2 linked regions of the Drosophila melanogaster genome follow. The protein of the gene in region 2 interacts with the protein of the main gene of each other region in a pairwise test. Each region holds a gene or a part of one and is shown on either strand. Other genes may lie near its edges. The genes, in order: Trim9 and pico.

Region 1 (5,138 bases), on a different chromosome or scaffold from region 2:
ATTTTGTGATAAAAGTGATAAGAGCACGGAATGCGTAATTTGATGTGGAAACATTCAACCCAAATAGATATACAAATAGGGCGAAATGCGCCACAGATACTGTTATCATTGCGCGTACTCTTCAATTATGAAATATGGTGAAAATGCAGGAAAATTTATCTATTCGAATATTCCAGTTTATAGTGCGGGTCTATCAAATGTACTATCGAAATAGTAATGTTTTTTTAACCTATTTATATGTATCTAATAGCCCACTTCTGCTGGAAATCCTGCTTGAGATTCTTAGTTAGATTACAGGTTAAACCAGAGACCAGAGACTGTGAAATACTTTTGCGCATTTGTTTTTGGGATACAAAAAATGCTTTCTATTCCTTCTGCCTTGTTATCCTTCGGATAATATCCTTCTTGACCTGACTAGACAGTTGATTTCCCTGCCTCACTGTCATCCTTTGTTTTGGCTGCCACTGCAATTTGTCACTTTTCGCACTTGGCTCTGTCCTTGTCGCAGTTCGTCCTCTTCCGCTGGCGTCGGTTTGTTGTCCTTGGATGACAGGATGTGCAGGCACTCGAAACATTTGCCATATTAAAATTGCTGCCGTTGACAATTGCCAGTGATTCGACGACAGACGGCGAATTCATGAATTCAACTGGCGAACGACAGGTGAGAGGGCCAAAAAAAACAACAACAAAACAAAAAATGCCACTGAAGTTCTGTGAAATGAAATTCCAAAAGGTAGGAAAACGAAACTTATCGCTGAATTAGCGTGCCAAAGTTGCGAGATTGTGGCACTTGGAAGGTTCCGTCAAAACAAAAGCTAACGAAGGTGGGTAGAAGTTGTAAAGAATTTGCTTTAATGAAATACTTCAACTGGCTAACAGACTCAGAGATACCCCTTTCAAAATGTTTGTCTGCAGTTGTGAAATGTACAAAAATTCTTAGTATTTTTTCAAGCCTTGTTGTTATCCTTTTCTACAGTTCCACATTCATAATACAATTTCGTTGATTTGCAAGCTGCTTTAAGCACCAATATTCCCAAATACTTGCAGCAAAACAATGTTGCATGAAAAATGTTCGGGGCCACAAGACAAGCCATAAATTTTCCACAAAAAAGCCAGACGAAAGGCAACAGTAGAAATGGAATACAATCAACTAAAAAGGAGGAAGCAAGCCAGGATGTGGCCAGGATATGCGATGCCTTCGCCAGCAAATACATATTTATTTCATGAGGTCCCTACTTTCGCCCCTAATTAGTTTGCCTCAATGCCGTATTTTTCTTCGACCCCCCCAAAAAGGACTCTTTTGATTCCTGGCAATGAATTTCCGGACATCACGGTCATATCATTGGCCTTTATTGGCTCTACACAAACTGCTGGGATCTGAACTTGGTTTGCATAAATAACCAATTCCTATTTGGTATTTCTTTAATTAGCACATCTTCCCTCTTCTGTCTTTCAAATAAAAGCACTTTGTTTACCAATAAATTAAACAAATATTTGTATTTGTCTGGCTGTTAGTAGAATGGTCTGCAATATTGACTGAAGGATTCGAGCATATTGTGCATTTAACAAATTAATTTAATAAATACTTGTACTTGTAGTATAGATTCAAGCAGTTTCTCGTTTTGATATGGCATATGCAACTCGCAATCATTAAAGTCAACTATTTAACTATCGAAATCCCATCACACAACTCACCTTTTGAGCCTTGCAGGTGACGTTGATGGACTGGACGTCGTGTGCCTGGTGGCGCAATTCTCCGATGCAAAGTCCGCAGGCGGGAGCCTTGCAGCTGAGGCAGTACTGGGAGAGGGTCTCCTCGTGCTCCCCGCAGACGGACTCCCTCTGCTGGGCGGCGCCGCGCGGCTTGACCAGCGTGTGCTTGGCCAGCGGTCCGCGGGCGGGGTGGGTCAACTCGCGGCAGGCGTCGCAGTAGCGAATCTCGCACTGCTCGCAGATCAGGGAAGCGACCTTGGGATCGGTCTCGCACATCTGGCAGCGGAGGGCCTCGCGGGCGCAAAAGCGATCCACAATGGCCTCCATGGCGCGGTAGGTGGGCAGATTCCTAACGCCTCCGTCGTCGAAGAAGACGAGCTTGCGGCAGAGCGGACAGGTGAGACAGTAGGCGGCTCCAGGCGGTGCCACCACATTGCCCACTCCTGGCAGCAGTCCTGTGCCGGCATAGGACACCGGACGCGATGTGTTCGAGCAGCAGACCACGCCCGAGTCCGCCTCGCTGAAGATGCTCACCTTGTCCGACTGATCCTGGTCGGAGGTGACGCTCTCGCTTCCGGTATTCGAGCTGGCCGTGCTGGCAGCGGAGCTGTGCGAGCTGTGCCGTGTGCCGGGTCCATTGGGATTTGTGACTGGAGCAGCTGCTCCGCCGCCGGCACCGCCTCCATTGCCATGCAACCCATTGTGTCCCGCTGCCGAAGCTGCACCCGCTCCGTTGACAGCGCCCGGTAGAGCCGATCCCGGACTGTACGGCGTCTGGATGTCCAGGGCACAGCCCAGGCAGAGGGCGTGGAAACATGGCAGCAGCACCGGATTGGCGTACAGCTGCTTGCACGTGGGACAGCGCAGTTCGTCCTCCATGTCTGGTGGTTATAATCCGCAAGAGCAATGCGATTCGGATTGAGTTGGCGAGGTCAGAGGTCCTGTTTAAATCGGTTTTATCCTCGCTTTAGTTGGGTTGCACTCTTTGGGACAACATGTCTTTGGTAATCCTCGAATTATTCACTTTACACTTTAATAAAATCGCGTTTAAAATCCTGTTTCTTGTTTACAACTTGTGCGTTAAAACCAAATCATAAATTGTTTTCCACATTTGAAACTTGCGCAATTTTTGTTTAGTTCGTAGTTTTTGGTATCTCAACAGTACCACACTTTTTACCAATCTTCACTTTGAATTCAATTTCAAGTCCTTGGAAAATTCACTTTTCACAAATTTTGTTAAAAATGTCCTTTGTTTTTTTTTATATATATATTTTGCAGTTTGTTTTCTTTCTATTCAACTTTCTTGCCACTTTGATTACGCGCCTAACTTTTGAACGCGACCAATTTCGATTTTGGGCATCCGCAACACGACCGATCCGCTTGAGATTTTTGAACGACTGGCAGTGGAATAACTTGCTTCCGCAGTCGAGGTTTCAATTCGAACTCGAATGCGTTCGACTGAGCGAACCAACTTCTTCATACCGAACTTCTTCAAGTTCGAATGAAATTAAACTATTGTCTAATAACCGCTGAAACATACGCAAAAATAATTATTGTAAAACGTATAAACGTAAAATAAAATTATTATTATTTTTTTTTTTGTTTTTTTTATTGTTTTTTATTTGTCATGTGAGTTAGTTGTTATTTGTTGACTGAAGTTCGATTCGAACATGAGCTGGCTCGATTCGAACATTCTAACTTGACAGTTTGACTACAGTTTGAGAGCGACTGCTTAAGAATAATTTTCTGAGTAAGCACTGGAAATTAAGAATTTGATATAAGGATATTAAAAATAATATAATAATAAATAAAAATATTTCAACAAAGCATTAAAAACAAATATGCGTTCAATTTCACTATCGCATTTTCTATCGTAATGCACGAATTGCCTTATCGTGAGATTGAACTAAAGCTATATAATATGATAAACCTTTATCAGTACAATACGTTTGTTTTACACCAGCTGCAGAAGTAATAGCAACTAACAATTATTCTTTTTAAGAATAAATAAAGTTTGTGATATTTTTATAATATTGTAGTTATATAATAATTGTACCAACTTTTAATAACAAAGTTCCAAGCAGCAGCAAAAGTTTGGCAAGGAACCTCACGACTGACCAAACTATTTGTCAACTTTGACTTGGACTTGAAGAGCTATTAATTGGAGTACCACCACTGTAAGTGGCTCAGGTAAGTGAGCAGGTAATGTCGGTGCCACCAGTGCACCACTATACCACTGCACCACTGATAAGCCCCGACCGGCCACCGACCCACTCGTGCACATGGCGACATTCCTAGTACCAAGTGCTTATATGAAGGTATGTACTACATCGCTCATTCCCCAATGGAGGTGTCAGCTACGTCGATTCTACGATCTACAAATATTATTGGACCACGCTGTTTGTTTGACTGATTTAAAATCGGACTCTGTTTCAGACCGTTTTCCAGTTTGTTTTGACACCGGAGCGGCCAACCGAGCGGGAAATCGAGAGCTAGCGATTGAGGATGGTGAAGAATTCCCCACGGTAACTGACATTCGATATCGGAAAGCTAAATACAAATAGGTGACCTGCTCTAGATGTTTATCTACACAGAGAGAAAATCGTTAGCATGATGGTGTTAAATAAATAAATAGCTTTCTTCAGTATGTATACCTTAGGAAAGTAATAATACTATTTCATATACTATATTTGATTCATTTTAAATTTAACAAAGGGTTTTTCAAATGGTGCTAACACAAAAATTGTTTAAAGTATTCTGATATTTTACAGATATTTTTTTGAGTGCACGCTATACAGCACGGTTAAGGAAAATGATGGAGAACGTAGCAAGAAAATCGTGCGGCGTGGAAAGTGCCTGACTCCCCCCTTTCCCAATTCAAGCATATCCCCACCCAGAGCAGTGCGTAATCCGTTCGACTTAATAAGCCACGTTCCTGCTGGAGTATTTGATCTGGATTTGGAATCGGGAGGTGTTAAGTGGCTCCCCACCTGAATGCCGCACCGAAGCCACCAGACGAACGTCTCACTCGACTATGCAAATATTGACAGGGAACGCATTCGTATGCTTAATTTGACTCAATTTATTGTTGTTTGCTTTACTTTTTCCCAGCCGAGTCCTTAATTTCCGCCTTGTATTCTTTTTCTAACTGACTAATAAATCACAAAATCGGACAGCCAGTGACGAAGAAAGGGGACGAGCTGGGCGCCTAATTGCCGTGGTATTGATTTTTATACTCTCCTGACCTATGTGTGAACTTTGGAAGGGAGATGGCGCCAAAGAATATGATACACAAAAAACGATAGCCTTAACTGGGATTGATGACATGCTTAATTATTGCATCATTTAAAAAAGACTCGTAATGTTCAACAAAATGGTACTAAATACAATTTTCAATGTCAGATATTGAAATGTATCTCAGATAA
Region 2 (5,167 bases):
AGCAGCTCAAAGTTGGAGTCCAAGTTGGGCGGCGGTTCCAGACCCTCGTTTAGGAAGCTGATGATCGTGTGTGACGACTCGTCTGCTCGGCCGCGCAGCTCCGACACCTTGGAGTTCATGAAGTCGATGAAGTCCGTGATGAGCAGATGGACGCGGCGGTAGAAGAACTGCGTGCTGTCAGCACAAATGATGATTAGCTTGCGAATCGGCAATTGACACTTCAGTTGTCAGTACTCACCTATAGACCAGATCCTTCTCGAGCAGCAAGCTGTGGAAGAAGACGAATACCTGCGCTCCCAGTGCCTCGTCGATGAGCATCTCATCGCGATTGATGATCGAGATGGCGGTGGCCTGAAGCTGCAAAGGTGCATGCCGCAGGCTGGCCAGCGTTAGTCCGAAGCTGTAGGCAATGATGGCATTCAGGCGCGGTGCTTGCCAGCTGCTCTGCGCGTACAGCTCCTCCAGGAAGCACTCGGCGAACTCGCGATCGCTGAAGATCGGAAGTCGGGTTGTGTGCTCATTGGGTTCCTCGGTGACCAGCAGCATGGAGGTATCGTACGCATACAGCAGAGCCATCAGCATGATCAGGGTCACGTCGTCCATGTTGCCGCCCGCGTCGTGGTTCTTTCGGTTGGCCAATTGGTGCATCAGCCGAATGGCAATGTGTCGCGGCAGGCCGCGTTGTGCCGACCAATTGAACAGGGCCATTGCCAATGCCTGTTGAATGTCCTCGTATAGGCCGAGCACCTGGTTCTGATGCTTCTTGGAGCCAAACGCGCGGTTTGTGGTCAGCATAGCGCACTGCGAACGTTGGACAACAAATGAATAACAATTTGCGAAGGAAGATATGCAATTTCAGAGAATTTCAGAAACAGGCGCATACAAACCCACCTCCTTGTCGACATCCATCTCCTCGAGCAGCTGCAGCAGGCGTCCCAGTATCCCAGAGCCGTCGACAAGGCTCTCGGCATAGTTAGTGACCAGACCGGTGATCTGCGTGCGTAGAACGATAATCAGGGTCAGTGAATCTCTCTTTCAGCGGCACTGCGATGCCTGCGATGTCGAAATCTCGAAACTTACCTCCTTGGGCAGTTCGGTGTTCCACGAGACGCCGCTAACCACCTGGAACATGTCGCGAAGCGTGCAGCTGATGGCCTTTCGTCCATCGTAGTAGAGCAGCACCGCGACAAGGCCTCTGGACAGGCCGGGATGATGCTTCTGCTGGCGCTGTGCGGTGCACAGCAGCTCCACGGCGAAACCCTCGTCCAGATCGAACATGTCGGACAGAATGACCGCCTCGTCGGCCAGGTCCTGTGACATCTTTGTCTTTCGCGAATGCCCCTGCATCGGGACGCCTTCGTTGAGGGCATTTCGTAGGAGATTGCGGCTCTTCTCGCTTCTCGGCTGCCGACATTTTCAATAATGGATTATCAATAATTAGTTAAATCTACGGATCTGCAAGCGCTTGTTTTGCTATACCCACCGGATTGCGCAGCAAGTTGCTGAAGTTGTGCTTGTACTTCTTGAGGCACTGCTCCAGATCCGAGGTGAAGCCACTGCGATTGGACACCGCGGTCTGAAAAGTGTTGTACAAATGCTTGTACGGCGTCCACATGTCCTCGATTACAGCTGTGGACGCATGGGTGGCATTAGTGATTTGGCGACCCACGCACATCTGCTCGTTGGCCAGGCACTCACCATCCATTTCACTTGGTTTTGCGGTTCGCTCAGTTCACGCAGTTCTTGCTGATTCGCAGTTATTGACTATAAAACGCGGCAAGATTGCTTCGCTTTGCGACAAGGCGCCGGTTACCAGGGCTGGGTGCTGCAAATACTGGAAAACACAGATGTTCACCACCGTACGAACTCACCACGCTCGTACGCGCTTCGGTGCTTGTGCCCGCTAACTGCGGTTGCTGCGCTGGCTAAACGGTTGATTCGAACCAAGTCAATCGGAAAATCGATGCTTATCGAACGATAATCGAGGCGCTGCATCGGTGCGTTGTCGCACCACTAACTAACACAACTTCAGTGCGGCGCGGGCGGGGCGTTTTCGTGAAAATCTACGCACGGACTTTTCGTAGTTACCCGATAGTAGCATCCATTTGTTTTGTTCCGATTCGCGTTTTTTTTTTTTTCTGTTCTCCGCCACTTGATTTGGCCAGCGAACGCACTGCCCAAGTGGTGTCCTGTTCGCATTGTGAGTGAATCACCGATGGCCGCGGGCAGGCTGAACTGCACCATAGTGGGATGCTGGTTCTGGCTGTCGATGCAAGTGGATGTGGAAGTGGATGTAGAAGTGTAAATGCAAATGCAATCGGCGCAGTTCGGCTGCAATAAATGCCAAAAGGGATACTAACTGCCAAAGCCAGTGCAATTGGAAGGAAAATTCAAATTTCATTGGGAATTATTCGAATTGGAATTGAATTTGTAACTGGAGTTGGAGTTCAGAGTACTTGGTACTGGGTGTGCGAGAGCGACAGAGAGGAAGAGAGGCAGTGCAAGTGTGTGGGGGTAGCAGTCACACAGGCACACACGAACATACTCACAACTCCAGTGCATAAAACTCCAAACTGCGTTCGCCTCTCTCTTTTCGTTTCGCTTGCTCTCTCCCCTACGTTCGCCCACGCAACGCCTGGCGAGCGAGAGAGAGAGCGGTATAGAAGAGCAAGGGAGCCAGAGCGAGAGAGCAAGGAAGTGGTTTTTCCACCGAAAATATGGACAAAGGCAAACTGCAGAGTTAGCTGAAAATAAAAAAAAATAAAAAAAAGGAACAAGACACAAACAGTGACTGAAATAGCGGTTAACAGCGCTCCCTTACGGCGAATCGTTGAAATTCAAGACGGAGAGCTATCGCATTTCTTCAATTATGTCTGTTTCGCTTTTCATTCCGCTGCAGTAAGCGATCGCGCGAAGGAGCAGCAATACAGAGAGCGAGATTTGGAGAGAGAGAGAGAGAGATAGAGAGTGCGCTCCCAATTGACGACTCCACTCCACTCCCACACACACTTAACCCCGCCCCCTCGCACCCGTAATTACTATGGATTGTGGTGGTATTGCGGCACATCAGCAACAACAACTACAACAGCAACAACTGCACTTACTCCAGCAACAGCTACAACAACAACACCACCAGCAGCAGCGGCAACAACAACAGCACAGCCTCGAGGAAGCAGCAACAATAACAAATGTAAGTATCTCCCAAGTTTCTCCAAATGTGTGTGTGCGTTTGTGTTGCTCGACCATTTCCTCTGTACTTCATAATTCGCTCCCACACACAAAAAAAAAAGAAGTCATAGGACAGAGTACACAGGAAGAAACTGAACTATACCTTTAAAGTACAGCTTCTTCAAATTATAGTAAGAACGGTGCAAATGGTAGACTCACATATGGTTGGTAATTGTATTAACTATAATTCTCTATTAGTGTTTTTTTTTTCGAGTGTATTCAGTATACTTTACTCCTTGGCTATGAAAATAACCTAGTTATGCAGTGCTAGGTGATCAAAAGACTTCAAATTCGGTACTCCAAAGTTGAGACTGCCCAACTAGTATCATGGATATAGTTTCCTATAGTTTGATAATATAGAAACTTAAAACTTTACCACTCCCCCCATTCGATGGGTCAAAGGAGAATTAATAAAAGCAAACGCAGAGAGCGGAATGATTAATCTTTGGACCAGCTGCTGGGGCAAAAACGACCACAAAAAGTGCTCAATGCTTTCAAGTCCAACAGAATGCCGACCCATTAATTGGTGTACTAACTTTTTCGCTCTCTCTTGCGCCTCTTTCTCCGTTCTTGCCCCATTACTTTCACCGTGCATAAACGCTGAAAAGAGTTCCCGATCGTTGTGGTTCTGTTTTTCGTTTTTCGCCTCTGAGGTTCTCGATTTGTTTATGCGCGGGCGGCGGAAGAAAACCCGATTCCACACGAAAAAAGTCAAAGGCGATGTGCGATACCATGCGGCAACAGCAACAAACGCGATGTTGTTGCTGCCCCTTTGTTTTGCCGCAACAGCGGGCGTCGCCCCGCTCCCCTAAGCCACTTCACTTCCCAGCAGTTTGTGGCACAACCCCAACCAGGAAGGTCGATTAGTTTCTGGATCAGAATGGTAACAAACAGTTAAAACAAAGGCTCCATTTGGACGAGATAATAATCAGATCCAACAAAAACATTTTGTTTATAAGTGAACTATATATTTAAACAATGTTTGAACATCGCTTGGCTGGTCTCAATAGATGTAATTTCAGTTGAAGTATATCTTACATATATTAGAGATACATTTGGTACAAAGGAAATTAACCTTTAAAATTGTTATTTTTAAAAATGGTTTAACAATTGGAATTCCCTTAAGTCCAAATGTTTAAAATAATAGTTATCCACAGTCCTCCAGTTTTATATATATATATATACTTTATATCTTTGCAAGTAAGCCCTGTTTGTTGTCAGTCGCGGTTTTGTTCACTGCACACAAACATTTTGTATCTATGTAAATAAATACATACATACACATACATATAGTTTAGAGTGAACTGTCAGGATGCCAGGACGTGACTGCGTGCAGCTCAAGGACGAGGACATGGGAATTGGCCTCCCGGTGCGTGTCAAATTTGCCTAATTGCGCGCAGAGGTCAGCAAATTCTGAAAAACTGCGCTGCCCATTTGACCATTTCTACTTGGCCAGCACGCACATTTTTCATTTCCCAAAAGCAAATATTACACCTCAGCATAAAAGGTTGAGTAAGCAGTTTGCTTGACAGCAGGACAATCTGTTAGTTGGCATTTTTGGATTGTTTCAAACTAGTGAGTTTATACAAAACTCATTGAAAAATGTTGCAAAAATACTTGACAACTTTTTTCACTCCAATTCCATATCTTGTGTGAAACAATTTAGGAAAAAAAACTACTTCGATATGTAAATTCTTTTTTGATGAAGTCATTATGCAGTTATCAAATACATTTATCTAGTTTTTTCTTTAAATTCAAGCTATCCTCTGGTTTCCGTGCATATAAGGCAGTTTATAAGACCAGGGATTGGATGTACGTTTTAAGAAATATACTTTCAACTGCGTTAACAACATAATATTTAAATTTTTATTTTTTTATTTTTAATTTCTTTTAAAAATGTAACTCATTCAGATAGGTATATTCTTAATGTTAATGTAGT

What was found.
Region 1: the proteins of pico (region 2) and Trim9 interact in a two-hybrid assay, tested with the Drosophila melanogaster proteins (one study listed by BioGRID).

What each region holds. Positions count from the first base shown.
Region 1 is NT_033779.5:10,542,858-10,547,995, reverse strand, and holds the start of Trim9 (tripartite motif containing 9), read right to left. Parts: upstream 3,114-5,138; 5' UTR 2,593-3,113; coding exon 1,696-2,592; intron 1-1,695. UniProt on the Drosophila melanogaster protein: E3 ubiquitin-protein ligase activity. During embryonic and larval development, regulates the pattern of axonal projections of class IV nociceptive sensory neurons (C4da) downstream of netrin receptor fra.
Region 2 is NC_004354.4:19,848,886-19,854,052, reverse strand, and holds the start of pico (pico), read left to right. Parts: upstream 1-1,993; 5' UTR 1,994-3,040; coding exon 3,041-3,190; intron 3,191-4,002; exon of another isoform or gene 4,003-4,108; coding exon of another isoform or gene 4,109-4,111; intron 4,112-5,167. Other genes in the region: Nup205 (nucleoporin 205kD), read right to left, coding at 1-174, 239-801, 892-993, 1,081-1,404, 1,484-1,705.